2 linked regions of the Mytilus edulis genome follow. The protein of the gene in region 2 interacts with the protein of the main gene of each other region in a pairwise test. Links are inferred from orthologs where the notes say so. Each region holds a gene or a part of one and is shown on either strand. Other genes may lie near its edges. The genes, in order: transcription initiation factor IIE subunit beta-like and general transcription factor IIE subunit 1-like.

Evidence for each region.
Region 1: the proteins of general transcription factor IIE subunit 1-like (region 2) and transcription initiation factor IIE subunit beta-like interact in a two-hybrid assay, tested with the Drosophila melanogaster proteins (2 studies listed by BioGRID). The link is inferred for Mytilus edulis from reciprocal best matches to the Drosophila melanogaster genes TfIIEalpha and TfIIEbeta.

The regions. Positions count from the first base shown.
Region 1 is NC_092344.1:17,767,970-17,785,003, reverse strand, and holds the start of transcription initiation factor IIE subunit beta-like, read right to left. Parts: upstream 9,215-17,034; 5' UTR 9,116-9,214; intron 1-9,115.
Region 2 is NC_092353.1:68,917,807-68,933,996, reverse strand, and holds the start of general transcription factor IIE subunit 1-like, read right to left. Parts: upstream 8,176-16,190; 5' UTR 8,076-8,175; exon of another isoform or gene 7,989-8,075; intron 2,687-7,988; 5' UTR 2,647-2,686; coding exon 2,003-2,646; intron 1-2,002.

The sequences.
Region 1 (17,034 bases), on a different chromosome or scaffold from region 2:
TCAAAAAGTTGCGCCTCATCCACCTCAACGCGTTTTTCACTATTTACTATTTCTGTAAGTACAATCGTTTTTCAGATATCGACTTAAAAGTTTTAAGGTCAAAGGTCAAGGTCAACCTTAAAAAGCTTTAAAACACACTGAAAATCTTTAAAACACATTGAAAATCTCTTAAATAAGGTTAAAATCACTAAATTCACTATCTGGTACATGACCTTGACCTTTGACCTTTTGACCTTTGTCAAGGTCATTGGTCCCAAATGTCATTGCTGAAGACCCCATGGGTCTAGGACCTTTGGTTATATAGTAAAAGCTGATTTTGTCTTTTCAGAAACCTAAAACAGGGGTTATGCCCCTTACAAAAAGGTCAAATCTCTTCGGTCAAAATGTAACAAAGTTGCCCCGTAATAACCCAAACATTTTCCACTATTTAAAACTTCTGTAAGTATAATGGTTTCTGAGTTGTTCTGATAACTAGGTGTTAGGTCAAAGGTCAAGGTCAACATACACATTTGACCTTAAGGTATTTTTCAAAGTCACATGAATTGATGATGAATGGTGAAAATCCTAGGTCTCTACGACTTACGGTTTCTGAGTTTTGGTTGTCCACCGACACCGGTTATTTTTCATAGGGGCATAACCCTACCAATGAGTCGTTGAATCTTTTCGATCCAAATGTAACGAAGAACCGGGGTCTGGTCCTGAACAAATTTCACCCTTCGTTTATTTTCTACCTATTACGGTTACGGTGTTGGAAGGATAACAAGGTTTTTTGGTTTCGGAGGAATTACTCCGAACCGACAAAATATTTCGACTAACAGGGTGAGTTCCAGATAGGTATTCATGACACCGATACAAAGTGTGAACATAAAAGCGACACGTCTTACGGTTTAGGCTGCTAACTTCGTCAAAGTTTGGCGGAAAAAGAATAATAATAAACAGAAGAAATACAGTAAGGTCTTTCCCTTTTGTAAAAGGAAAGACCTTAATAATCAGAAGAAATACAGTAAGGTCTTTCCCTTTAGTAAAAGGAAAGACCTTAATAATAATAATAATAATAATAATCAGAAGAAATACAGTAAGGTCTTTCCCTTTAGTAAAAGGAAAGACCTTAATAATAATAATAATAATAATCAGAAGAAGAAATACAGTAAGGTCTTTCCTTATAGAAAAAGGAAAGACCTTAATTAAAAAAGAAAGAAACAATAACACTATTCCCTCCATACTTCAAATACATGTAGGTAATAAGGAAAGAAAAAGGTAAAGATAATAAAATTGGTGCCAAACTGACTAAACAAATGCCTTAACTTGAGATAGGTGAGGATTTGACCTGATGCTGATTAAACAAGGTGAGGATTTGACCTGATGCTGAATAAACAAGGTGTTGATTTAATTTTTTTTATAGGTGACCATGTCATAAATTGACAAGGTTCCGATTTGACTGTACCCTGACAACACCTTATCCAGATATTTCTTCAAATCTGGAAAAAAGCCAATGGTCACTTAGACAACATTCTGTATGTCTATTTGAGTCCATGCTACAAACACAAAGGTAAAAATTTGTGTAATTTCAACATTTGTAACATGAATGGTAAATTTTTCTTTGATCTTCTGGTGACTTAACTCGGTTATTTTTAGCAGAGTGGGTTAACTGAATGATTTTTTTAGTTATTTCACTCTCCAATCCAATATTTTCTACAGGTTATTACTTGTACAAAAACTTTGTACAAGTTATTACTTGTATGATGCCATAAGTAAAGTTACAGGATACTGCTAACTTCCTTTTCTTTCTTCTGAAGAAGTTCCCTTATGAAGTCAGCCTCATAAGAATAAAGTAACAAGTAGGCAAGAAGATGACAATAGTTTGTTGAAAAGCACGTCCACCAAACAAAACAAATAAGTTGTCAATCAAGAAATTAAGCATCTTGATAATTATAAACTAGAGGCTCCAAGGAGCCTGTGTCACTCACATGGTATTTTTATTAACAATTGATGCATGAAATAGTGCAACCGTTATACTTTTGCTCTAGGTTCAGAGATACAAGTCAAAAACTGAATGTTCCCCCTATGTTCTATCAGTCAGGGGACTTACTTAAACAAGTGATTTTCTAAATCACTGATTCAAGTAACATTATTTCCATAAAGGTTGGAAGTTAGAGTTGTCTTTCTTTAATAATCACCTATTTAAGTAGTACAAAATAATCACTAGAAGAAGTGATTTAGTATTAGTGTAGCTTTAAATATAGAATACTAATGATCCAGGGACTAATTATGTTTCTAAACTTATCAGAACCAACATCTGTGTTGTCTAGGATGACCAGGTCATTTCAGGTGATGACCTTGTACTGAATCTAGGATAATGACATAAAAATCACTTGTTTAAGTATCAGACCTCAATTTCCTTCCCAAAAATCACTTCTTTAAGTATCATTCTTTTAATAACCCCCACAAATTTCAACACCCCCGAACAGTGAAATTTTTATCGCGAACAGTAGAATTTTATTACATAATCTGAAAGATGAAACCTTGAACTTCACAGGAAAAATACTCCCACTGCTGTGAAAAATCTTTGAAGAAAGTATCAGTTCATTATGTAAAGCCATTATTATAGCATTTTTTCAACTAAAATAGAATTTTCAAGTAAATGATAGCATCAAAGGCATAAACTTTGCAACTTAAAAGAAGCAAAAAGTTCATATTTTTTAATATTACTAATTAAAAGATGTTATTTAAACCTATGTGTTTAAAATTTTGAAAACACAACAAAATCCCAATTTGTGACAAAACCTCGAATTTGCTACTCAAATAAGTGATTTAAAAATCACTTATTTCAGTAAGTCCCCTGACTGTCTATTTTTAGCCATGTCTGCCATGTTGGTTGGCAGACAGGGTCTCGGACACATTTTAAAAAACTAAATACCCTTTAATATGCTTATTTGTGGCCAAGTATGGTTAAATTTGTCTCAGTTGTTTTAGAAGAAGACTTTTGTAAAAGATTACAAAAATTTGCGAAAAATTGTTAAATTTGACTTTAAAGGGGAATAACTCCTTATGTGGTCAATTGACCATTTTGGTCATGTTGACTTATTTGTAGATCTTACTTTGCTGAACATTATTTCTGTATCTATAATAATATTCAAAATAATAGCCAAAAGCAAAAAAAATTTGTCCGATTTGTCTGAAAATTTCAGGACAAATATATCTTAACCTGATAAACATTTTAACCCCGCCGCATTTTTGCGCCTGTCCTAAGTCAGGAGCCTCTGGCCTTTGTTAGTCTTGTATTATATTAATTTTAGTTTCTTGAGTACAATTTGGAAATTAGTATGGCATTCATTATCACTGAACTAGTATATATTTGTTTAGGGGCCAGCTGAGGGACGCCTCCGGGTGCGTGAATTTCTCGCTACATTGAAGACCTGCTAGTGACCTTCTGCTGTTGTTTTTTCCTATGGTCGGGTTGTTGTCTCTTTGACACATTCCCCATTTCCATTCTCAATTTTATTACCAACATTAAAATTGCTTTAATGCTTTAGTTTCAGAGATATTAGTCAAAAACTGCATTTTACGACTCTGTTCTATTTTAATTATGTCGGCCATGTTGGTTGGCAGGTGCATTCATCAGACATATTTTTTTTAAACAAGATACCCTAATAATTATAATTTTCCGCGTTTCGCAGTATAGAGGAAAATTATTGTACTAACGTTCCGTCTGATTAATCATGTGATTATCACATGTTTACATGTACATGTAATAAATGAGCGGGAAATAATCCCGTGGAGTAATCACTCTCTACCCAACACTGATACAGTCAAGATGGACACCGATATGTTGAGCAGCCCTTTAAGAAATGCCATTTCGAGAGAAGTTTCCAATGCCATATCAACATCTCAACAGGATTTATTGAACAGTATAAACGGTATAATGGACAGTAAACTGACAAGTTTGCAGACCACCTTACAAGAAAGTCAACAAGAAATTTCGCAGACTCAAATGGCCAAGATGGAGGAAACTCTGACCGATAACTATAATTTTCAGAGGAAGGGCAACGAAAACCAATTCAAGTATGGTGTGAAGGTTCTAACAAAGCTGAAAGAGGCGAAGTCAAGCTTAGAAGTTCATGATTTGACCAGAGCGACCGTACAGAATGCTAAATCCAGGATTTCAGAAGGTATTGACATTGTGCAAGAGAGACAAAAGTTAATTAAACTTGCAGATTCTTCTCAACTCGGTTGGAAAGTGGTTAATGAGTATGTTGCCAACCCAATAGCAGAAGACTCCGAAGATGAGAGAAAAATGTTAAGAGCTCAGTCTAGAGCAGAGCGCAAGAGTAAAGCAGAGAAAACCAAGAAAAGCATCAAACCCAGACAAGTTCCTTATGCCAGGAATGCAGATAAAGATGATTCTTTCAAGCCTGGAAAGTGTTTCAATTGTGGAAAAAGGGGGCACTGGGCAGATAATTGTCCTGATAGAAAACAAAAGATAAGTAATTCTTTATATTTATCAAACTTAGATAGTTCAAGCTTATTTTGTAGCTCAGATGATAATTTTTATTGCAATAATTCCAAAATAAGAAACGCCAATGAGAAGGTTTCAATAACAATTGATTGTTTACAAAAAGTTGATCTTGTTACTTATGTGGAAAAACCGGTTAGTCCAGTAGGTAGATTGAAAAATGCTATCGATGAATGGAGATTAATCACAGGTAATACACATATAATTGATGTTATACAAAACGGGTATAAGATACCTTTCAAAACAGAACCAGATCATAAAATTATTAGAAATAACAGATCATCTCTTGATAACGCAAGTTTTGTTAAGTCAGAAATTGAAACTTTGCTGTCAAAAGGTTGTATATCAGAAGTGAATGATATACCTTGTGTAGTTAATCCTTTGACCGTTGCTTTTAATAAATCGAGCAAACCCAGGTTGGTATTGGATTGTAGACACATCAATCCTCATTTATTTAAATTTAGATTTAAATATGAAGACACAAAGTTAGCAAGGGAAATTTTTCACCAACATGATTTTCTATATGGCTATGATTTAAAAAGTGCTTATCACCATATTGAGATTGTTGAATTGCACAGAGAATATTTAGGTTTTGCATGGGAGATAGATGGTGCAAACAGATATTTCGTTTTTAATGTCTTGCCATTTGGATTGGCCACTGCTGGTTACATATTTACCAAAGTTCTCAGAGAAGTTGTAAAGTATTTCAGATCTAAAGGCGAACAAATTATTATGTTTTTAGATGATGGTTTGGGAGGTGGTAAAGATTTTGAATCTTGTCAAAAAAGTAGTCAGTTTGTAAAATTTCACCTTCAAAAGCTAGGTTTTCTAATTGCACATGAAAAATGTGTTTGGGATCCATGCCAAAAATTGAAATGGTTAGGTTTCATTTGGAATACTGAAACTGGTAGAATATTCGTCAGTCCTGAGAGAATAGATAAAGCAGAGCAAACTGTAAACTATATACTTTCCGAGATTGGGAGAGGTAAAGTTTTGTTAAAGGCTCGAATTTTAGCGGGCATAGTCGGTCAACTCATATCAATGCAAATAGTATTTGGTGATCTCGTGAGATTGAGAACAAGATTTTTATATGCTTGTGTTAACGGTAGAGCAAGCTGGGAGGCATCTGTAAAAATTACATCAGAAGCTATTGATGAGTTAGAATTTTGGAGAGTTTCTTGCAGAGCAAGGAATAGTAAAGGTGTGAATATAAGCACAGTTAATTTTCACGACAATTTTGATGTCGATTTGTTTTGTGATGCCTCAGATGTAGGCTTTGGTGGTTTTTGTTCCACTTATGATCGTACCGAAGTATTCGGTAACTGGGTAGGTAATGAACCTTTTGAGAGTTCAACTTGGCGTGAACTTGAATGCGTCAAGAGAGTTTTGTATACTCAAGATTCGTTGTTGGAGAACAAATTAGTTCGAGTCAACAGTGACAATCAAAATGTCGCACGTATTTTGACGGTGGGGAGCAGAAATTTGTCACTACAAAAAACTGCGATTAATATTTTAGAATCTTGTGAACAGAAAAACATTAATATTCAGACTCGCTGGGTCCCTCGGGCTCAGAATGTGTATGCAGATCAACTTAGTCGTTATACAGATCACGATGACTGGTCTTTAAACGATGAAACATTCAGTTTCTTAAACTATATTTGGGGTCCGTGTAGCATAGACCGATTTGCCACTCATTACAATACACATTGTTCGCGTTTCAATTCAGTTATATGGTGCCCAGGAACTGAAGCAGTTGACAGTTTTAGTCAATATTGGGGAAATGACAACAATTGGTTGGTACCCCCACCTTCTTTGATTGCAAAAACAGTAAACAAAATGTGCAATGAGCGTGCTAATGGTATTTTGGTTATACCAGAATGGAAATCGGCGGCATTTTGGCCTTTACTTTGTGCACAAGAAATTTTTAAGAGTTTTGTTTCAGACGCTATTTATCTTACAAATGACAAAGTTATAGTGAAGGGTGCCGGTAAAAACGGCATTTTCGGGAAATGGCCACTTAAATTTAGGTTGATAGCTTTAAATATTATGTTCTAATGATCCATATTTGCGATTTTCAGGCTTAGGACTGAGGCAACATGTTGTGGAGATTGTAGAGAAGAGTACTGTAGGATGTTCGGTTGAACTTGGAAAATTAGCAGAAAAGATGTCGGTTTATCTTATCCAGTCTAAAAGTGACAATACTACAAAAAAGTACTTTGCTAGTTATAATCGTTGGATATCTTTTGCTCAAGGATATGGTTTTAAAGAATTACCAGCAGATCCGATTCATGTTTCATTGTTTTTAACTTTATTGATTGACAAGAAGTCATCACCTTGTACTTTAGATTCGATAATTTATGCTTTAAAGTGGGTACATGAGCTTTATGGTTACGTTGATCCTACAAATAACGCTTACATTCATTCGTTAGCTCAATCATGTAAAAGATTAAATGGAAAACCAGTCGTAAAGAAGGACCCTGTTACCTCGGATATAATACTTGAACTCTGTAAAATTAATGAATTTGAAAATGACTTGCTTATTGTTAGAGATTTGACTATGATTTTGATAGGCTATGCTGGATTTTTGCGCTTTGACGAATTAAGTTCTATTACATGTAGGGATGTTAAGATTTTTGATGATCATATTTCTATTTTTCTGCCCCGGTCCAAGACCGATCAATACAGACAAGGTAACGAGATACTTATTTCTAGGGGTAACACTTTGGCATGTCCAGTTGTTATGTATAAGCGATACATTTCACTTGCTAGTTTGGATGTTAATTCGGATTATTTTATATTTCGACCGATTTTTAGGTCTAAGGGGTTAGCTAAGTTGATATATAAGAATAAGAAGTTAAGCTATACAGCCACAAAAGAGAATATTGTACGTAGATTAAAGACTGTAGCTCCTGACTTGAACCTAGGTTTGCATTCTTTACGTTCTGGTGGTGCTTCTGCAGCAGCCAGGTCAGAAGTAAATGAGAGATGTATTAAACGTCATGGAAGGTGGAAATCAGATATTAGCAAAGATGGTTACATTGCTGATTCCTTAGATATGAGATTATCAGTATCTAGAAAACTTGGTTTATAATTTGGGCTCTTTTCATCCCTTTCTTTGTGATCTCTAGATTACGTTGGGCAGTCGGCAAATATATATTTGGTTATTGTATTAATATTATGTATTATAGTGAGATTTATGGTATAAATTGCAATGAGATTACATCAGTAAAGTGTGTACTTATAATTTTCCGCGTTTCGCAGTATAGAGGAAAATTATTGTACTAACGTTCCGTCTGATTAATCATGTGATTATCACATGTTTACATGTACATGTAATAAATGAGCGGGAAATAATCCCGTGGAGTAATCACTCTCTACCCAACACTGATACAGTCAAGTTTCTTAACGATATTTGTATATATCGTTTCTCATTAATATTTCATATCTAGATCTTAATTGGGTTTTTATTATGTTTGTGCAATGTATTATTGTTTCATGTTTCACTTTATATCATTTTTTTGTTTTATGTCATATCTTTAAGTATACTGTCCAAGTATGACTCCGGAAACGGTCTTTCGAGCATATTAACTTTCGACTAAGTTAGGGTTTGGACACAGGTTTCCAACGCCGTCTATCGACATAGTTGGTTTTTCCTGGCCGGCGGGATCGTTAAGGATGGAGAAATTTTGATGATTTATAATTATTAATTACAACTCAGTATGTTATGCTGTATGGTTATATCACACATGCTGTTATATTTCACATGTCATGTTTATTTATTTGTAATAAATTCGGTGTCCTCTAGATTACGTTGGGCAGTCGGCAAATATATATTTGGTTATTGTATTAATATTATGTATTATAGTGAGATTTATGGTATAAATTGCAATGAGATTACATCAGTAAAGTGTGTACTGATTATTACCAAGTTTAGCTATATTTGTCTCAATAGTTTCATAGGAGAAGATCTTTGTACGATTACAACTTTTACCATAACCAACCCAGGATAAAAAAGGGGGGGGGGGGGTGTTCCAGCTATATGTCCCCATTCAAATGCCCAGAACCCCCCCACCCCATCCCCTGGATCCGCCAATGCATAAACTATAGTCATGATTCACTGCATGATAGTGAAAAGGTGTATTGAAAAAAAAGGCCAGAAAGTAGTGTTAGTAATAAAACCATGACATCTTCTAATGTTATCTCTTATGGGCTGCTGTGTGTGGAACAATTTTCTTATTTTGCCGCCTTGAAAAATAGCTACGGACACATTATCTGTGTACAGGTACAGGTAGTCTAAAACGACTTTAAAGGCTGACAACTGATTGCGACAATGCCTTACTGCTACTAAGGCATCAAAGCAAAAAAAATATGACAGCATTTCAACTTTTCAAGACGTGATAATTCTTTGGAATAATTTTACCATGTTTACCGGCTGCTTATGGTAATTTTTTTTCAATTTCTTTAATTTATACCACAATAATCGATGTGACGCTTCAGATGATTGAAAAGTCTAATTTTTTTTTGTGAAATGTAGCTTGTTATTCTACAAATCAAGTATTAAAAGATTGTTAATAATCAGATTTACTCTCGATATAAATTCACCATTCTTTCTCTGATATCTGCTGTTAACCTTATGATATGTTAAAGGAAGATATACGTCGTCGTAATGACAGGAAACCAGTAAATATTTTAGGAAACCTCAAGTCGATACCGGAACAGAAACGGAAACAGTTTCGTAAACGCAATATCAAAATGAAAAATTCGTGACTTTGCGATACAAGTGGGATATTTTTTTTTCTGTAAAAAAACTCGAAATACCTACTTCTATTTCAACATGTTTTAAAGGGGTGTTTTTTTAATTTCTACATCTACATCTACATCATACGACGATCCATCACTACATTGATGACTACACGTCGGCGCATCGCGGCAGACACTTAATAAAAAGTAACAATCTAATGAGTGCATTAATCAAAAATTTAATTTGTGCAAAAATAACAAAATAAATAAAAATAACTCATTTACATATATGTACAAACAGGGTGGATGACTATTATAATATACTGACTTTGGATCAGTATTTTAAACTGATCCAAAGAGTTTACACTAATGATGTTTTGTGGTAGTGAATTCCAGCAAGAAATTGAATATTTATATACAATTCCTTGATTCCAGAGTACAACTGTGTATGGAAAAAAGCTGTACTTAAAGTAATCTGTTCTGGTGCTGAAAGTTTGATATTGTAGTGAATTGGTGAATATGGTGTTTTTGACTCGCTGTGGTGAGAGGTAAAGGTTTTGGTCTACTGCTATAAGTTGGTGTGTGATCTTATACATCATTGTTACTCGATTGATGTTTCGGCGAGTTTCTAGTGACTTCCATTTAAGATGGTCAATCATGGAAGTGACACTACTGGTGTTATGATACCTGTTGGTGACGTACCGTGCTGCCCTTCTTTGTACCTTTTCAATATTATTTTTTTGTTTTGGGGTGTTAGGGGACCAAACTGAAGAGCAGTATTCAAGGTTTGATCGTACCATAGGTTTATAAGCCAAACTTTTTGTTTCTTCCTGATTAATTTTTAAGTTTCTTCGTAAAAAGACTAATCTTGTTTGCTTTAGCCGTGATGTTGCTTATATGGGTATCCCATGACATGTTGTTGGATAACTTGATACCAAGATATTTTGCTCTGTTGACTGATTCTAAAATGTGGCCTTTAAGTACATAGTTATGTTTGTATGGTGACTGAGATCTTGTTACAGTTAGTGAGTTGCATTTTTCTGGGTGGAATTGCATACCCCAAGTTTGTTCCCATTTGGCTAGGCAGTCTAAGTCAGTTTGTAAGATGGTACAATCATGTTGGTTTTTAATTGTTCTGTACAAAATACAGTCATCTGCGAACAAGCGTGTTTTTATGTTACTGTTGCAGGTAGGTCATTTATGAATATCAGAAAAAGAAGGGGCCCCAAGACCGAGCCTTGAGGCACCCCACTTACCACAGGCATTTGACCATTTAAACTAAAAAAAAATAACATATTTCTCTCTCTTAAATGCCATCATGTTTTAAAATTACTGGAAAAAAAGAAAAACCCGAGTGACTATTTGTCTGGCTGGTCGTATTCTAACAAACAGCTGCACCCCGAGCGCATGATACGCCCGTAGTCTTTTGAAATAAAACTGAAATCCGCTTTTGGAGAAACTGCGCAAAATGTGACCAAAAAATACTACTTTTTTTCTTTTACCAAAAAGCTTAATAAAAATTCAACAACTCAGAAATTAAATAAAGAACCATCACGAAAAAGTATACAGATCTTCAAATTAATATAACTAACACTGGTGTGAAGTTTTATGCAATAATCATAAATAGTTTCTGAGATACGACGCGGCATGTGAAAAAAACACCCACCCCCTGTTTTAGTTTCAAAGTCCTGTAACTCAAAAAGTTTAAATCTTATTTTCACTAAAAAGTATACAGATCGTTTGACCATCATAAGAAACAACTACGTTAAGTTTCATGAAAATTGGATAAGTTGTTCTCAAGTTACGGTGCGCGAACATGTAGGCGACGGACAGACGGACGGACAGATAGACGAACGGACAGATAGACGAACGGACTGACAGACAGACGCCGGACTTTTGTATACCATAAATAAAGTTTTACACTGAATCTATATATTTTCAAACGGCTTTGAGACGAAAACATTATCGAAAAAATAAAGAAAACTGAACTTGCGTTTCAAGTTAAGAAAGGGTCCGGGAAAAGCGCAGAATAGCATGATTTTCATCCTTATTTTCTATAGCTGCTCGGGACCTTCAGTGGCCCAAATTTCTTTGCCGAAAAAAAATCACTTCGATCGCGTTCTGCATGCCTGGCACCTATGTTTAACATTTGTTTTTAAAAAAAAAAAAACTTAGTCACAGCCCAACTTTAATACAGGTTTGTACGTATACAATAATTGCAGTTTAGAAATCAGAAGATTCACTTCCAGAGGATGCATGATGATTAATTCTGATTAAAAGCTACATAATGACTAGATCCTACATGTGCTTCTATTTAAGAATAAAAACATTAATTTAAAAATTGTGTGTTTTAAAGTATTATTAAAACTAATATAGTTGTGAAAATAAACAATCAGTCCGGCCTTGTTTTAATGAAATTCATGCTTCAACAGTCTACAAAAATAAATAACCAAATAACCAAAATCCAGCACCCCCCCCCCCCCCCCCCCCCGAATATTAAATGATCGTCTCCGTCCCCTAATCGAGAAAGACATACAATTTCCTTCATTAAAACTCGTCAATGGCATCACACTTCAGAGTCATTTTCATGTTTAATTTATTGATTGTGTTGATTTGAAATGTAATGAGCATTGGCAAATTTTTGAGAAAAATGTCCAAAACAGTAAAATCTGCTGTTTTAAAAGGAAATACAGGATAAAACAATCACTGGACGAAAAATCCAAATTTTAAAGGTAATCAAAGAGCAAGTCTCCATTTCAATGTTGTCGTTCTATTAATTATTTTGTCCTTATCTATAAATTTGTCCCAAATTCATGTGTAAACTCTGTTAATGTCACATGAAATAATGATTTTTTATAAATTGTCAAGTGTATTATAAAAGTTCAAGTGTCTGGCCTGGGATCGCTGCTCTCAGCGTAAAAGTACAATGTTGACTGTAAGAAAAAAAAAGATTCCGTTTACACAGTGTAGATACTATTCTGAACGCTATCCGGAAGTCGCGATTTTCGAAGCGAGAACTTTTTGGATCACATTTTAAATTTGATGGGTATACTGAAAAAAAAACGGTAAGTTGATCATCTGTACATTGCTTAATGATTAATTCAGCCAACATCGATATTCTCAAATGGTTTAGAATTAAATTCCACACATTCATTATTCGTATCTTTGCCTTAATCAAGAGATTTTCAAGTGCATCACTAAAAAAATCAGTCGGCGAACCTAAACACAATCTTTTTACCCTCTTAGTGTACAAATTAACGTAAAAAACAGACTTAATTAACTAAATGAAGTATATTTCAAGTGGTGTTAAGAGTTTCAACCAGATCTTTGAAGCCAGAAATAAGAAAATTACACTTGTTTGAATTTCTCACTGTACGATCAGTCTCGCTTGTATATTTTAAAACTGTATGATCAGTCTTTGTGTCATTGTATTCTAGTGGTGATTTCAAAGTTATTTACGATACATTAGAAGGTGGCATTTTTCTAAATAACACAAATATATTTAAATACATTCTCATCCTAAAAACTTATGAAACATTTTTTTTTAGCTTAATATGGTGTACTCGACTTACTACATTAAGTATAAGGATGTTTAAATGTTGCTAAAATAAGAGGAAGGTTTGATGTATACTAGTATATAAGTTTCAGAAATATCCTCCGTTATACTTAAAATTGTACAAACACACAGATTTAGTTGTTATATAAAAATGCATGTATTTACACACATTCGAGGCCGTACTTTTAGCCTATAATTGATCACAGTTCCTTCACTTTGTTTAAGATGTAGAGCTGTCTCTCTGACACTCAATTGTACACCACTTTGATAAGCGGGGGGTTATAGTGATAAAGAAGTCCGTCTTTCCGTTCGTCCGTTGGACCGGTACAATATGTTTCGCCGGTTTTGTAAGCGCATCTCCTCATAAATCACTTTATATACATTGGGGGTTCCGGCCATTTTTAAATGGAGAGGGGGTCCAATCCAGGAGAAAAGGGGATTTCAAATATATGTTTCCATACAAATGCATTGATAGTTAAAAAAGGGTTTCAAACTGCCGGATCGCCTTTTTTTGAATCCGTCACTGATATAACTATTAATTAATCTTATTCGGATTCCTTATCATAAATGATAATGACTGTATTGTGCACCGTCTATTTAGAATTTTAGTAAAAATCTTGTATGGGGTTACTTTATATAAGATACGGACATGAACATTGCATTATATGGGGGCACCCATCAGGTATTTCCAACACCTAAACCAATCATTAAAGTTTTCTGAAATTGCTCCATTTTTACTCGATTAATGCATTATGGACCTTCTATTTCTGTAAACTTACCAAAACTATATCACATGAATTAACCCCCTACGCAAAGCTATCTTTATCCATTTTTTGTTATTTTAAAAGAGACAACCTTGATTAATGTTATTATCAATTGGTCAACGGAGGACGGTGTAAATAATCTTTAATCAAAGTACTGAAGTACTGAACATCGGATGACCGCAGGTTCTTGTGGATGGTCAAAAGCACATTTCACAGAAACAGATCACATCTCTATACCTGAAACTGGGGTTAATTTAGAGAGATATTTTTTTCTGATACAAGTTCGTGCTTGGATGAATAAATGACAGGAAATTCAACCTCACCGTAATAACTATTATATTGTAGTGCAAGAAATCAGTATACCTTGGACTATTATACTTATATAATAATAGTCGTAGATATACGGAAGCCCTGGAGTGCCATGCAAAAAAAAAAATTCAACTTGTGCGCACAAGTTACCAACTTGCGCGCACAAGTTACTATCTTGTGCGCACAAGTTACACAACTTGTGCACACGAGTTATAAACTTGTGCGCACGAGTTGTACAACTTGTGCGCACAAGTTGCACGTATTCTTATAGACATGCGCTGTTTTGCTAGAGAGACTATTTATGGAACGCCGTAGCTGCCGAATACAAACGTTTATATACATGAATGCACATACTTTTCAATGTCTGCACATGTTTTTTCTATGCATACACATACTTTGCATATATATGAACATAGTTGACTTTATATGCACTTATTTTTTATATATATATGCACATACTTTTCCTACATATGCACATCGTTTACCTTATATGCACATACTTTTCTATATATCTATTTGAACATAGTTAACCTCATATGCATATACTTTTTTTCTATATATGCACAGACTTATTCTACATAGGAATGTACAAATGTAGTTCTGCATGTGAATACTTTACTCAGTATATATGGACATAGTTTTTCAACGTGAGAATTACAATTCATATTATGCTTTTCTGTTGTTTTTTCAAACTGAACTAAGCCTAAGGGTTCCAGTATCATAAAAAGAATGTGAATTAAGAATTTCTTAATGATGTATGTTGTTCAATTAAGCAACTTTTGAAATCATTTTCATATGAATGCAATACTATTTTGGCATGTATGATGGTATTTTGCTGTTGTCTTCATCTATAGTCACTTGTTTTAATGCCATAACTTTGTATTTTGTATGAGTCGTTTGTATTACATTTTAACACAAGGATTATTATCACTAATGGCGTGTTGAATTCAGTGGTTTTTGTCCTAACAATTCAGTGATAACGGGTCACAAGTTATATTAATGCATTTTAGCTACCGCTTTACAAGCAGAGCCAAATACAATGAACGTTCCAACTATGTATTGGCTTCCGAAGCTACACAAAAGACCTTACAAATATAGATTTGTTTCGTCTTCAAGCCATTGTTACACAACTAAATTGTCTATAATCTTCTTACCAGCACACTTGGTACAATTAAAAACCTGATAATAAATTATTCAAATAAGGCTTTCGAAAATAGTGGAATTAATTACTTTTGGAGTGTCAAGAACTCGTTGGAAGTAGTTGATAAATTGCATGCTTATATTGGTGATTTTGAATCTGTTGAAAATTTTGATTTTTCTACCCTGTATACCACATTGCCTCACATTCTCATTAAGAAAAAATTCACACACCTAATTAAATGGGCATTTAAAAATTCAGAATGTGAATATATATGTTCAAACTCTGTTAGGTCAGTTTTTAGTAGCAATAAACAAAAAAACTATGTCAATTGGACATGCTTTGATACTATATATGCCCTTGAATTTTTACTAGATAACATTTTTGTTCTGGCCTTTGTTAGTCTTGTATTATTTTAATTTTAGTTTCTTGTGTACAATTTGGAAATTAGTATGGCGTTCTTTATCACTGAACTAGAATATATTTGTTTAGTGGCCAGCTGAAGAACGGAATTTCTCGCTACATTGAAGACCTGTTGGTGACCTTCTGCTGTAGTTTTTTTCTACGATCGGGTTGTTGTCTCTTTGACACATTCCCCATTTCCATTCTCAATTTTATTTAGTTTGGTTTCCGCACTCTGTCGTTAATTTGCCTTATCAAAAATTATTGAAATTCACACACAATGTTAATAATCACACAAAGTTAGGCCGAGTTAGAATTTTGGGCAGTACTTTTTTGGACAATTATGCCCCTTTATAACTTGGAAAATTGAAAATTTTAAGCGGGGGCATTCGTGATTTCAAACTTTTTTTTTAAACAGGTTTTATGTTTTATTAGTAAAAACATTAGTAAGAGCCGAATGCACTTTGTCGGTGTCGGAATAATCTATAAACAGTGAATGTAAAATTTCATAGTGAGACAAAGGTATTACTGTCCAGCGATGGCGAAAACTATTTCTATAGAGCTTTGTATTCGGTATTAAGATATAATACCTGGATGCTTCATACTTTGTTTGTAATAGCCTTATATTTCGAAATTTCCGTCTGTCATATGTTGTATGTAATAATGCAGTAGGTCAAATATATATATATATATACAACTCGTCTAAACATCAACCCAACAATGGTAGATCTGTAAATTTGCTTTCGCAAATTTTTGGGTTTTCCCTCGCCGGGATTCGAACCCATGCTACTGTGATATCGTGACACCAAATCGCCTGCACTGCAGCCGTCCCGATAGACCACACGACCACCTGGGCTCTACAATAATAGAGCTTTCGCTGGCCATGTGTTACCTTTCCACGTCAGTTTTAATCTAGCGGCGTACTACAGTACATGATATATAAGGCATGAAGATGTTACTGTTACAGATCAGCTAAATTATCTATAGTAAAGGATCCTACAAATTAATGTAAGATACAGTCACAGAAAATAATTATATTATATATATATAAAACGTCTGAATAGTAGTCAACGATTTTCCCACGAGGGACCTGTATATATATAACTTCCTTAAAATATTAAAAAAAATAAACTGAAATGGTTATGTAACGACTTTTTGTAATTTTGACAATGCAAATGTTGAAACCAAAATAAAAATATGACTTGCAAATGCCAATAAATTTTCAAAGTCAATAGACAATTACTAAGGGGACAGGGCCAAATATTATCTATGGAAATGAGATGTTCTAATACTTATACAACTGCATAAAACATATCATTGAAGCACCACTTGTGGTTCAACATAAACTAGACCTAATCACAAACTAATACATTGCGAAGCCAACGCCGACGCCGTAAAAATAAAATGTATAGTAAACGTATTGAAAAGCTTTAAAAAAGGTGTGAATATCAAATATGATATGACGTGCTGCAGTTCTAAATTATGATTTGTCTGATTTACTCTGCATTTCTTGTTTTGCGTCTACATTTTCAGCATTTGGGGATTAAGGTGAGAGTGCAAAAACAAACAAAAAAGAAATGAAATTTTCCTAGTTATAAAGGAGCAGAACTGT
Region 2 (16,190 bases):
GATGATTGATCCTGTGTGCACTGATCAATCACTCGTTGTTTAATACTTGGTAGATATTGTTTAATAGAAAAGTTTAGGTCACTGTATGGCATGTTTGGTCTTCAACAATGAGCAAAGCCCATATCGCATCATCAGCTATAAAAGGCTATAAACATGATAAATGACAAAATGAATGTAAAACAATTCAAACCTTGTTTTCACTGGTTAAAAAACTAGTTCCCTCTATCTCATTTTAATCAAATTCGAACATCCCACCCACTAGCATATGTATGAAGGTCTAGTAAGATTTACAAAATAGAGAATAATGGACAAATGCTGTATAAAATAAAACAAATAAATGAAGAACTATTAAGATTTTCATATTAGACCGATTTTGAATTTTGATTGTGATTGATTAGTCTAATTACATTGTATAACAATAACAATAAAATCCTGTTTAGTACAATGTAGTATTTTCAAAAAATATATATGTACTGTGTCAAACAAAATAGCATAGCTATCATGGCTATGTAGCTTTTCCTTGTAAACATGTCAACAAGGCACTGTCACAACAGGAATAGCCCTGTAATAATTTATACCTTGTTTGTTCAAATTTCCTCTATCTTTCATTTTATTCAAAGCAGAACATCACATGTGCACTCACTAGCATACATTGTACATGTACCTATGAGGATCTTAGTGAGATTTATAAGATAGAGAATAATAGGCCAATGCAGCAGAAAAATTGTCCAAAAAAAATAAAATATAGAATAATCATAAATCGGGTGCTAAAATTTAACAAAAGAGAAAAATTACTTTAACAAAAAGAGAGAAATGGAGGACCCCATCCAGACCCCCATCTACCCATCAAGATGGAATGATGTAACCTGGTTGACTTTTATATCAATTTTATATACCACAGTAGCACAAACGAAATGAGTTGCCAAAATAAATGTGTTATTAGATACATGTATCTATCATGTGTATATACAGTATAAAATGTTTGATGTTTCTGACAAAGAGAGATAACTCTGGCAATACTCATTAAACTAAAAAATCTGACATTTTTGTTTTATGGTGTTTCTGGATCCTTATAGATTGATACATTGTCCATATCAACTATTCATGCAGGATTATTATCCAAGTTTCCTTGATGATTTCTTATTGGAATTGAAATAAATGGACAATGTGTCCATGAGATTTAGATTGCATATGCATATAATATTATAAAGGGACATAACGCAAGAACAAGTGACACAACCAAAATTCAAACCTGATCTGTGTTTTGTGGTTATACGCATAGTGTACAAGTTTAATAACATTGAGTTATAGGCAAACTAAAACTTAAGAGATCAGAAACTAACTTTGGAACAAACAGACAAGGTTACTCATAACATGCTTAATGACCCGGGGCCATCTGGCTCTGCTGTGGCAGGGGCATAAAAAATCCTTCAAAGTGTAAACTAGGACTGTAAGATATTTCAATCCTATATATTTGTGGAACATGTGCCCTCAAATTTCAGATTTAAATGTTTGTTTTGTTTATAATAAGTGACACTCATGATCAGTTTATGTCAAACTATACCTTACTCTGGCTTCGTCTGAATATTTAACATACCCTTATTGCAAACCAGAGGGCACTGTTTCTGCCATGACAAATACATTGGCAGAAAAAAGAAAATCTCACTATTTAGAAAACTTGTAATAATACAAATTATCTCATGCATTCAAAACACAGCATCATTACATTAGGTAAATTATATACAATGCCACTACCCCCCCTCCCCCCCCCTTTTGTTATCTTCTGAATTCTACAAACAATTATTAGCTATCCAGATATTTCAATTTCTATTAGCATATACATGTACATATACATGAAGGCAGTATTTCTTAAAAGTTCTATATATCTGGACCTATGATTTGTCTGAAACATAAAACTGAGCTTAGCTTAAAACACCATTGACAATGCAATGACCAGACCTAAAGATAGAAATAAACTAATATTTGACTATTTGCAACATACCTTGAAGTGTGCTTCAGATCAGTTGGTTCAGGTTCAAGGATATCTTGTGATAAAGATATACCATCACACTCTCTGAGTAGAACATAAATAGGTTCAATTTGTTCATTAAATTTTGCCAGTAATGTTCGAGCATCTTTTTGCATAACAGCACTTTCGTCTTCTACAACCTCTTCACTACAGTATGTACAGATAAACTTTTGCGTACTCAAATCAAATAACTGGTCCACTTCCAAATCAGTGAAAGTTTTCTCACATCCGGGGCATTTAAACGAAGCTCGACTAGTATTGTCTCTCTCCTCCATTTCAATTTTCCGTCGCACATGATCTAGTTTGTATTTGACAACGTTTACAAACATTAAATAATTGATAAAATAATAATTATGGCGTGTCATTTTACCTTCCGTATCTGTCTCCACTCTCATACGAAATTTCAAAAATTTCTCACTTTTGAGAGTGTTTATATAAGACCTTAACTGTTTCCTATCATACTTCAATAGTTCGATGATGTCATCTTCCTTCATACATGGATTACGTACCAATAAGTCAATAACAATGGCGTGCTCTATACTATAGAAACCACGTGTTACGAGTCTTATCAAACGTTTTAACGACTCTGGTACTTCTGTCAACACTTCTGGTTCCATCTTGCACTAAAATGGATGGCTGTCAGTTATACATGTGCTTCTGAAAGTAAAAGCCGAAAGAAATTAACAGAATTAAAAAATCAATTGATTCCAGTGAGGTTTAACCTACAATTTCCTTTGGAAAATGTCTGTATGAAGCATGGGGGTCTCAACATGGGTTTTTGGATACATCTTGACTTGATTTTAAACGACATAACAGCCATGCCAGCATTTATACAATAATCTAATTGAAAGATGAAAATTATCGACCCATTGACATATTACATTGGAGAAATCGCAACCCATTGATATTTGATGTGTTAAAAAAGGGACCTAAGGCTAAGCATGCTAAGCATAACTTGAGAAATTCTAAATTATAAAAATAATTTGTCTTCCTCCAACTGTCAGTTAAACCCTTGGCAAAGTAGGGTGTCTGTTTTGCCTTATGTGATGTACAAGAAATTTAAAGCAGTCATGTCCAGTCAGAATTGGGACGTTAAATCAGCATACCCGTAGCCTTGAAATCAAATAAGCACTGTTAAAGTCAACGTTTGGTTCAAATTGTGACTGTTAAAGTCGAGTTCATGAGTCCAACGAACCCCCCTGGCTACGGGCCTGATTAGATCACTTGTGTGAGGAAAGTGCCAAGTTGAAGGAGGGTAGTACATCATACTTCATGTTATGCCTTTACATTCAGGCGTCAAACAGTCATTTTAGGTTACTGTTAGCGTCAAATTGGTTAAAAATTTACCAGTTTTCATCAAAATACCTTTAGCCTAATTAGTAAGAGGTCTAAGATAATTATCGTTACTGTTATTTTTGGAGAAAAAAAATGACCGGATTCATCAAATTCAGTCGATTTTAAAATAATAATATTTTATTCAAATAAATATCAAGCATATTTATAATTACTATACAGTAACAAAATATATATGATACATAAAGACAATACTAACACATATATATGGTAAAATATATTGGCAGTATCCTTAAGTGTATGAAAAAATTTGCTGATATTTTATCAGGGATAACCCATGAAAGCTCTAAAGCTTGTTTCCAATGGGGTCCCTACATGTAAAGGGCTTTTAGTTTTGACATACAAAAAAAGATAACACACAAATTAATATGACCAGATGACAAAAAAATTCATATAAAAATAATTTATATAAAATTATGATTAAAACTTTTGGTCAAGAGCTCTTTGACGTTAATTTTGAATTCCTTTATTTTCTTTATTTTTTTTAACATTAATTGGCAACATATTCCAATCTTGTATGCCAGCCCATAAAAATAAAATGTGTCTTTTTGTTGACTCTTTATTTACTTATCTTTATATTGAAAATAACTTTGCTGTGTCATGAAAATAATGGTCAAAGCTGGAAACGGTGACAATCATTACATACATGAACAAGGTAGTTCGCTTTCTCGATTTACTTGCTTTACAGGTTTTTTTTCATGTTGGGGCTTTGCCATTACAGCGGGGTTTTTCATGATGGTCATAACGGCGTTTTTTTCCTCTCGCGGTAGGCCATGTTGTATAAACTGCTTACATCAACTTCATTTAAACTCTTGTTAATGTAACATTGTTTTGTCTCGTTGGCTTCCATACCACATCTCCTTACAATTTTGATTAGTGCTAATTTCATAATGCCATTGCTTGAAGAGTAAAGCTTTGGTCGGCTCACTTGCTTTGTTTGTATAAAGTTCTACCCAAGCTTTGTAAAAAAGATTATCTTAATACAATATATATCTATATACAGTTATACAGTTAATGCATAGCTCACCGATCATATGCAGAGTCTGGGGTCAAATGTAAATCAATAAACGGTAAAATGTGATTCTATAAGTATTTTGTAATTAAAAAGTGATTCAAATGTTATGAATATTACACAAATTACGCAAACCAATATGATTTGCATTTATGCATTACAATATATTTCATGTTTCTTGTGCTGTTAAGCTGGCGGCCACTTTTCCCTTTCTTTTTCTTATTTTAAACGACTTCATGTACTATTTTCAAAAAACTTATTTTTTTCCTGTCATATTTAAACAATGTTAATATTTACATGTAAAGCCCTTCAATGAGACATCGCATAACACACAACAAAACAATGGTAAAATTGCGAGAACAACATATGCATGAAAAGTTTAATAATTAAATGTCCAAAATCAGTGTTGTCCTATTGGCAAGAAGCTGACAGATGCGCTAGGGATGGCAGAGATGGATTCAGTTTTATCTTATTATGATAGCTTTACTTTGTTGCTCAAAACCACCGGCAAATGTATACGCGATATCATAAAAATGACCAGCACTTGTATCAGACAAAATGTCAGACGTCAAATTGTAAATTCATTGACTGTAGACAGCTTCAAAGAAGATACATCAGATACAAAGAAATGCGAAGAGATGCGATTTGCAGCATTGTCGGTGTCTTTCCTGTAAATGTTGTGCAGAGTGATAAAAACCCTGTACTTGTCAAGAAAGGAGCAAATTTAGTGTTGAAGAGTTTCTACAAACACTGAGAGATTAAAATTGCATTCTTTCTTGAACTGTCTTCTCTAACAACTTGCTATTATTCTTTGTAACAACTCGATTTTTGCAATACAAATATTGCCTCGCCAGGTATTATTTATTTATTTCTATCTATACATACAAGAAAATGTTTGGTGAATGAGAATTGGCTCACTCACCCCCGTTGTAGGAACTCGTATTTTGAAAGATATTTATCTACTCATCCGCTCTCATAACTAGAACTTCATTACTGCTGATGCTTAACAATTTGGACAAGAGAACTTTTGGTGAATGAGAATTGGCTTGCTCACTGTTGTATGAACTCCTATTTTGAAGGATCATCGCCTCGCCCACTCTCACAACGCAATTGATTTTATTCATTCTTAAAAGCTTGGACAAGATAATTGGCTTGCTCACTCCGTTGTATGAACTCGTATTTTGAAGGACATGAATCGCCCGCTCACAACTGGAAATTAATATCTTGTTATGCTTAACAACTTACAAAAGAACATTTGGTGAATGAGAATAGCTCACCTCTGTTTTATGAACCTGTACTTGGAAAATCATGTATTGTCACGCTCGCTCTCACATTGATGCACTCTCATGGAAAATTACAACTTCATTACCCTTTCATGAATATGACCTACTGAATTAGACTATTTACTGGAATTTGTTATAACAAAAGCAACACGACGGGTGCCACATGTGGAGCAGGATCTGCTTACCCTTCCAAGGCACCTGAGATTGGAATGAAGATGGGCAATGACATGAAGACAGTACGCAAACAAAGCAGATCTATATATATAGCGGTTAAGACCTACGACTGCAGTGCTGAAGTTTTAATCAAAGAGCAGATTGCTCTGAGGGATACGATTGCCTTTGTTTCATTGACACATGTATACATGTAGCTGATTAATATTATTTTCAAAACTAATTCAACTGCACATTTAAAATAGTTACAAAATAGCCAATCACGGATAAAAGTGTATGAACAATGTAATCAGGCCTATGTTTTATTTTTGTACTATCAATTCCAAGTTTACTTTCCACAGCACTCACTGAGACTCAGACTGAGAGAAGGTATTTCAATTCGTATCTTATCACCTATTTTCCTACGTTAATTCTAGGAGGAACCCCATTCCTAACTCTTTAAATATTTAATTTCCTTTGGGTCAGTGATCATGACTCCTTTCCGTACACATTTATCGGTTTAAAATGCGATCGTTTTTAATATAATACGACATTTATTGACAGAACGAGCTAATACTCGACGGTATGTTTTGATTCAGAATTCACGGAAGGGGTGTTCTACAATAAGGATTCCTTTTTTTTTTATTTAAATGATGCATAAATGATTCAAAATTATGCAACAACAATAACCTTCAATAGCAGACATACATAGAAAAAATCTCATGAGTTATAAATTAATCAATTGAGTGTAGAATCCAGAGCAACCATTCAATCTAAAACCCCTTGAAGTCAAGAAAACTATACGCATGCGCATAATTTCCAAAACAAACCCTGGAGCAAGAACGTATATTAAATGTTTATTAAACGACCTAGATGGTTCTCTATTTCTTTATGGAAGAACAATCTCAAATATCAGTTTCATAACGGTAACATATAAGAAAAACTCCACTTCAGTTCTTAAATGACAGAAATAGATTTATCGGAATTCAGAGAACTCTCGCATTTTATATATCAAAACTGGGATTTCCCTCTGACGTGTTTCTAAATTTATAAAAATACTAAATATAAATACTGCTTTATTCTGATTTTCCGTGTTGTTTAAAACACACATATAAGTCAAGGGAATTATCAAACATGAAGATTATGAAAAGAACATTATAAGAAAGTTGTTTAAGTTCAATCCCTTTGTTTGTTTTTACCTTTTAAAGTAAGACAATCATAAGAATCTGAGATGTTCCTTAATGTTTAGAATAAAACGATTGACGTGAGGGCAATGCTCTGAGCCACCGGTATATTAAAGTCTACAGATTGCTTGAAAGCAATCGTATCCCCAAAATGACAGCACGAAATAAGAAAGGCACTTTATTAAGAAACAATGATTTTTTTTATAGCAATACAAATACACTAACCAAAACATGATTTAGATTTATTCAACACAAAACCGTTGCCAGAATGCCTCTTTCATTGTCTTTATTTTGAAACAATGAAAAAAATATATAGTCATTGCAAGTCTCTAACCAAACCATCATCACAAAAAAAATGTTTTTAGAATGTCAATTTAATATGAAATAATGAAAAAAAATCGAGTTTTGGTTAGTATATTAATTGGGCAGTAATAGTATTGCTATAAATATGTTTATCATTGTTTTCATAATAAACAAAAGCAAACGTATAGGGTGCAAACAGACTTTTGGTAAGAACGTGTAGGGTATGAAAGTGAAAGGGGGCGAATTTGAATGAGAGCGATCACGTTTTAAGGTGAACGGACCCGGATTCCGTTCATTTCCAATTGTATGGGATTATTGCGGTCCTGTACAAGACGTCATACTGACTGATTTGTTAATTTGTTGTGTGAAAATAATATACCAATTTACAAATGTTCCATGTCTATATAGGCATACTTTTCAGAGACAAGTGACTGTGCGTCGGACTATCGGGCTGTCGGATTATAGGACTGTCAGACTATTGGATTAAAGGACTGTCGGACTACCGGACTGTCGGATTATGGGACTGTCGGATTATAGGTCTGATCCCATCCGCATTGATAGAAACAATTGGCTGTTCCTTGGGCAACTTCATCTTGGGGACCAAAAACTGAAAAAGGCATTTGCAAGGCAACACTTGGTCATATCATCTTATGTCAAGAAAAGGTATAATTTACATTTTTAACAATACCATGGAGGATTCTATCTATTCCTAAGCTACGTTTCTATCATCATTTCTGTACCTCAGACATACGCTAACATACTATTTAGGTTTAATTTGGCGCCTAGGTTCTTTATGTTTGACAATTTTCTTGTACCGGAAACAAATTATTATACATAAAATTAAAACAAGTTCGGAATTCGGTCTCACTAATTAGCGACAAGAAGAATTTTAGCGACAAGAAGCGTCAAAAAGCGACAAGAAGCGACAAGAAAACATATTTTTTTTAATTAAAATTACTTACTCCAATAAATATTAAAGAATATGCAAAAGAAAACAATTGTAGCGACAAGAGAGTTAATATCATTTATTATGTAACAGCCAGTATTACGTTTACCCTGTCAGGGCCGTAACTACCTATGAGGCAGGGGAGGCCTCCCCTGAATTTTCTACACCAAAACTTTTTTTTTAAGTAATAATGTGCATATTGACAATATCGGTATGTACGCCAAGAACTTGAATTTATTTTATAAACAACACAAGTTTACAGTTTTAACAGTGTTATCATGATACGTGATATGCGTCATTTTCCGAATTTGTGATCGAAAGTGAACCGTTTCAGAACACATATTTTTGAATAAAACTTAACTATTCACATTTATTTAGGGACTCAATTGAGCAGAGGGAGTTCCCTTTAAATTGTGAATCTTTTATGATATCGGGAATTCGTTACCGGCTGAATCAGCTGTTTTAACCGCTTCTCCCGATCGTACGAGAACATTATGGTCCATTCCTTAGCAGCTAAACTGACACCACCAATCGTTGTAGCAGGGAATTTCTATACTAAGTATATACTAGACTGTATTTAAAGTCCCTGTTTTAGTTATATACATGTCTGTTGAGCTTTCAACAATATTGAAATTCATGGTCCTCGATAAAAAATTATCTTGCGTTCCATGATCTTAGGGACTGGTCAAAATTTATCGTCACATAGGACCGGTGCAAAGTGCAGTAGGACAGATACTTTTTTCTGGAATCGCTTTTGTTGGGACATCACTTTTTTCACAGATAATATCCATAGGACACAATTTTTTTTTCAAACGATTACTTTGAAATAATTTTTATTAACATTTATAACAAAACTTGAAATAACCGGGTATAATTTACAATATGTAAAACAAGAGGCTCTCAAGAGCCTGAATCGCTCACCTGAATTTTTTTGGTTTAATCTCTCATCAATGATTATTTTGGCTTTTCAATTTATTTAAATGTTCTTTGAATCGTCCTATTTTCTTCAAAAGCAAAAAAAAATCATTTTCTCCTATGTTCTATTTTAGCCATAGGAGCTATGTTTCTTGACATACAAGGAAATGAAATATAAAATTTATACTAGATACTCTGAAACTCTGAAACTCATTTAGCCTAAGTTTGGCTGAAATTGATACAGCAGTTTCATAAGAGAAGATTTTTTAAAGTAAGTCAACATGATGAACAAATTGTGAAAAAAGTCTTTAAAGGGCAATAACTCCTAAAGAGGTCAATTGACAATTTTGGTCAAATTGACTTATTTGTAGCTCTTACTTTGCTGATCATATTTGCTGTTTACAGTTTATCTTTATCTATAATAATATTCAAGATAATGACCAAAAACTGCAAAATTTCCTTAAAATTACCAATTAAGTGGCAGCAACCCAACAATTGGATGTTTGATTCATCTGAAAATTTCAGGGCTGATAGATATTGACCTAATGAACATTTTTACTCCATGTCAGATTTGCTCTTAATGCTTTCGTTTTTGAGATATAAGCCAAAAACTGCATTTGACCCCTATGTTCTATTTTAAGTAACGGCGGCCATGTTTTTTGACGGATCAAAAATCAAAGCACACACTTTGTGCAGGATAATCTAAGGAACAACCATGCTAAGTTTTAACCAAATCCATTCAGTAGTTTCAGAGGAGAAGATTTTTTAAAGTTAGCAAATATGATGAACAAATTGTGAAAAATTGTCATTAAAGGACAATAACCCCTTAAGGGGTCAATTGACAATTTTGGTCATATTAACTTATTTGTAGATCTTACTTTGCTGATCTTTTTTGCTGTTTACAGTTTAGCTTTATCTATAATAATATTCAAGATAATGACCAAAAACTGCAAAATTTCCTTAAAATTACCAATTAAGTGGCAGCAACCCAACAATTGGATGTTTGATTCATCTGAAAATTTCAGGGCTGATAGATATTGACCTAATGAACATTTTTACTCCGTGTCAGATTTGCTCTTAATGCTTTCGTTTTTGAGATATAAGCCAAAAACTGCATTTGACCCCTATGTTCTATTTTAAGTAACGGCGGCCATGTTTTTTGACGGATCAAAAATCAAAGCACACACTTTGTGCAGGATAATCTAAGGAACAACCATGCTAAGTTTTAACCAAATCCATTCAGTAGTTTCAGAGGAGAAGATTATTTAAAGTTAGCAAATATGATGAACAAATTGTGAAAAATTGTCATTAAAGGACAATAACCCCTTAAGGGGTCAATTGACAATTTTGGTCATATTAACTTATTTGTAGATCTTACTTTGCTGATCTTTTTTGCTGCTTACAGTTTATCTTTATCTATAATAATATTCAAGATAATGACCAAAAACTGCAAAATTTCCTTAAAATTACCAATTAAGTGGCAGCAACCCAACAATTGGATGTTTGATTCATCTGAAAATTTCAGGGCTGATAGATATTGACCTAATGAACATTTTTACTCCATGTCAGATTTGCTCTTAATGCTTTCGTTTTTGAGATATAAGCCAAAAACTGCATTTGACCCCTATGTTCTATTTTAAGTAACGGCGGCCATGTTTTTTGACGGATCAAAAATCAAAGCACACACTTTGTGCAGGATAATCTAAGGAACAACCATGCTAAGTTTTAACCAAATCCATTCAGTAGTTTCAGAGAAGAAGATTTTTTTAAAGTTAGCAAATATGATGAACAAATTGTGAAAAATTGTCATTAAAGGACAATAACCCCTTAAGGGGTCAATTGACAATTTTGGTCATATTAACTTATTTGTAGATCTTACTTTGCTGATCTTTTTTGCTGTTTACAGTTTAGCTTTATCTATAATAATATTCAAGATAATGACCAAAAACTGCAAAATTTCCTTAAAATTACCAATTAAGTGGCAGCAACCCAACAATTGGATGTTTGATTCATCTGAAAATTTCAGGGCTGATAGATATTGACCTAATGAACATTTTTACTCCGTGTCAGATTTGCTCTTAATGCTTTCGTTTTTGAGATATAAGCCAAAAACTGCATTTGACCCCTATGTTCTATTTTAAGTAACGGCGGCCATGTTTTTTGACGGATCAAAAATCAAAGCACACACTTTGTGCAGGATAATCTAAGGAACAACCATGCTAAGTTTTAACCAAATCCATTCAGTAGTTTCAGAGAAGAAGATTTTTTAAAGTTAGCAAATATGATGAACAAATTGTGAAAAATTGTCATTAAAGGACAATAACCCCTTAAGGGGTCAATTGACAATTTTGGTCATATTAACTTATTTGTAGATCTTACTTTGCTGATCTTTTTTGCTGTTTACAGTTTATCTTTATCTATAATAATATTCAAGATAATGACCAAAAACTGCAAAATTTCCTTAAAATTACCAATTAAGTGGCAGCAACCCAACAATGGTTTGTTTGATTCATCTGAAAATTTCAGGGCTGATAGATCTTGACCTAATGAACATTTTTATCCCATGTCAGATTTGCTCTAAATGCTTTCGTTTTTGAGATATAAGCCAAAAACTGCATTTGACCCCTATGTTCTATTTTAAGTAACGGCGGCCATGTTTTTTGACGGATCAAAAATCGAAGCGCACATTTTGTGCAGGATATACTAAGGAACAATCATGTTAAGTTTCATTCAAATCCATTCAGTAGTTTCAGAGGAGAAGATGTTTGAAAAATTGTTAACGACGACAGACGACGACGACGACGACGGACGCCAAGTGATGAGAAAAGCTCACAAGGCCTTTTAGGCCAGGTGAGCTAAAAAAATTATTATATAAAAATTCAGATAGGCATCTTTAATTTTTTTAACTTTTTCAAACCAACTTGGATTTTCATCAAACTATGCAGCTATCTTAGATATATATCAATATTCAAATCGAAAATTTTTAACATTTAACATTTGTGAGCATTAGCTCACAGTTTAACTTAAGCAACTTCTGATATAAAAAAAAGTGTTTGCCATCATATGCTGTTAACTGCATACAACAGTATCATTGTGTTTTGAAAATTATTATATGACTTCGACCATTTGCTCCCTATTTTTTTAAACACAGTTATGATTTAACCCCCAAGTTGATTTAGTGTTAGCGGCTCACCTCGAGTGCAGGAAGCTTTTTTTTTTTTATATATATTTGTCATAGGACAGTCATCCATTAATGTGCACCTGGAAAGAATATTAACCGAAATGATTTGCTCGTTTGATTTGTTTATGGTGGTATTGCATACTTTACAATATAATGTTATTGATTTGATTTTAAGGAGGGATAGGAAACTATTGTATAGCATTAATTGTTCTAAATAATAAGGATGTTCTTATCCCAAGCATAAAAACATAGCCGTATTTGACACAACCTTTTTCAACTTTTGATCTAAAGTTGTACTTTTTTTCACTTTCGATCTTTTATATCTGGACGTCACTAGTAAGTCTTGTGTGGACGAGGCGCGTTTTTGGCGTAATGAATTTAAACCTGATGTTTTTGGTTATCCATTAATCATGTATTTCTTTGTCTAATACGTTCTCCTATTTATTTGTATTGTAGTCCAGTAATATTATGTTGTCATTTCAATGTTATATTTAACATAGCAATTAAAGTGCGAGGTTTGGCATGCCACAAAACCAGGTTCAACCCACCATTTTTTCCTTTAAAAATGTCCTGTACCAAGTCAGGAATATGGCCATTGTTATATTATTGTTCGTTTCTGTGTGTGTTACATTTTTACGTTGCGTCGTTTGTTTTCTCTTATTTTTTAGTGTAATTTCACATTGCGATAAGACTGTGTCACGGTACTTGTCTATCCCAAATTCCTGTATTTGGTTTTGATGTTATATTTGTTATTCTCGTGGGATTTTGTCTGATGCTTGGTCCGTTTCTGTGTGTGTTACATTTTAGTGTTGTGTCGTTGTTCTCCTCTTATATTTAATGCGTTTCCCTCGGTTTTAGTTTGTTACCCCGATTTTGTATTTTGTCCATGGATTTATGAGTTTTGAACAGCGGTATACTACTGTTGCCTTTATGTAAAACAAAAAACAAAAACTGGATGCAATACCTCGGATACATGAGTGAAATTATTAATTTTCATTTGAAAATTAACTAACATCTTGATTCCAAATTTTATAACGTTTAGAGGACGTGTTTTTTCAGCAAACAAACGACATTCCTATAATAACCTATTGTGTATATATTTGTTATTCCCTGTGTCAATATTTTAAGTATCAAGAAAAGTTTTCAATAACTTAAAAAGAACACATTACACTGAGAGTAGTTCAAATATATCATGGCTGCTTACTTGTCATTTCAATGGATTTAAACATTGTTTAATTTTCAGCACAAATATTATTATGTTTTAATTTCAATCCACGTAGAGACTTCGAAAGCTATGCCATTTTCCGTTTAGTTGACGAAAATTGACATGTATATAAGGGTATACATGAATTGTGTGCCTGAATATTAAATGCCTAAAACTTATTTCATATAGTTTTTTTCACTGTCTCTTTTTATGTCGTCCCTAACGCTTATTCTGTGAAGGACAATAACAATCAAAACCAAGGAGTAGACAAAGACTCGCAAAACCAAAGGATATTTACATCAACAGTTATAAATGATAATTAAGAAACAACACGAACTCCACTAAAAACCGGGATTGAAATTAGCTGTTCCGGAAGGGTAAGCAAATCTCAACAAAAATTATATTGTAAAATTCTTCTTTCATTGAATTATTTCTTTAATCTGTTCAGTACATGGTTCTTGTCTGTGATCAGTATTGTATTAAATTTATAATTTCATTTTTCTTTGTTTTTAATTATAATTTTGCAAACTTTTAGTTCTTTTGTTCAATTTTTACATTCGCCAGTATCCTTTATTGTGCAACCCCCTTTTCGATCTTATGATATGTGACAATAAACTAATGTGCTTTTGTCTCTGAATTTCGCTTTCAGTGTATTTTCCAGATGGTACAACGTGTAAAACATTTACAAGAAATCTAAACATACGGAGGTTGAGACATTACATAAAAACAGATGTACATATTTATAATTTAAGTTGCCTACCAGAATGATCCCCGTAAAAAATCAACAAAAACACAGACTGGGACACGACTGGAAATTGTTTGTTTTGTTATAGTACTTCTGCACACATGCATATCATCATCGATGTCTTTTCTTTTTGATTTCCATTTTTTGCCTGGTGATGTTGTCTGGTTGTTGTCCTATTGAAGTATTGACTTACGGGATTTTCATGTAACTTTAGGTACAGAAAGTGTGTGTATATATTTTTTTAAGTAGATTTTAGAAGATATATAGTAGAAGTATGATATAGACCTTCAAGTTATAGCCTAGAACAATTTCCTTTGAGGAGACAACCATATGAATCAATACTACAAAATTCCTTTAAGGATCCACTGAATGTTCTTTTTATTAGGAACCGAATATACCAGTCAGCAGGTTCGTGATTTTCATTTTGAAAATCTTCTTCATGATTTTTTTCATATTCATTTTCAAATCCTGTAGTATTTCTTCATCTTCAATATTAGCAAACAAGTTCATTCTCCTAGGAGTTGCATACTTTCCATCAAATTAACTATTGTCCCGTCGGAATGTCGCCGGTTGCAACAATGGAAAATATAGTCAAAGGGACGTAATTCGTACAAAACGTCGCAATATTTCGCGGAATCCGGTAGACGGCGTTCATTTACTGTTACTTGACCTTGAACAAACCTAAACAAAAAAATTACTTGTAAACCATGTAAACAATGCAATGTCTATGCCCTATGATGAGGGGTTGGGCTTTATAATCTCCAAGGAAATAAGACTTACAAATTCCAATAAAGTTTGCATACCAAATATCACGGACTTTACATTAGCAGTTCATCGCAAATGGTTATCAAAGGTACAGGATTATTATTTAAAACGCCAGACGTGCGTTTCGTCTACATCTGACTCATTAGTGAAGCTCAGTTCAAACTAGTTACAAAGTTGAAGAGCATTGAGGACCCTAAATTCCAAAAAGTTGTGCCACATGCGGTTAAGGTAATATATGCCTAGGATATAAAGAAAATGTTTCAAAGTCAATAGACCGTGACTAGGGTGGCGGGGCCGAATATCTCCATGGAAAGAGCTGTGCTAGTGCTTATACAACTGAATACTAAATACCATTGGCCTATCTCTAATGATTCCCCTTGAACAGACCTAATCACAAACTAAGGGGGGGGGGGGGGCGTAGCAAAAAAATCTCCCTGGAAATGGTATCAGCAAATGCTTAAACATCTGCATACCAAATATCAGTGACCTACCTTTAGTGGTTCCCTATAAAAGAGAGACGAAAGATACCAGAGGGAGAGTCAAACTCATAAATCGAAACTGACAACGCCATGACTAAAAATGATAAAAAGACAAACAGACAAACAATTGTACACATGACACAACATAGAAAACTAAAGAATAAGCAAAACGAACCCCACCAAAAACTAGGGGTGATCTCAGGTACTCCGGGAGGGTAAGCAGATATTGCTCCATATGTGGCACCCGTCGTGTTGCTAATATTATAACACATCCAGTAAATAGTGTAATTCGGTAGGTCACATTCATGAAAGGGAACGTTTAAAATTCATCAATAACCAAACAAATAGCCAATTAAAATGCCGTTATATCGTGTGATGCTGGATAAGCCAATCAAATTAATGCAGATTTCGTATCACATTCCGGGCAGTGTGACACAAGAATTAAATGTGCATGCAAGAAATAGATAACAGGTCACATTCATAAAAGAAGTGGGTGTCCAGGTTATATCGTGCCTTTTCAGTTATTTTATACATCGTCTGTACAGAGAATTTCCAAATAGTGAGTTTTGCATGTAAAGCAATATTTTGTTTGAGGTTTTGTCTGTTGGAGGTACATATATGTCGTGTTATAATAAAGCACC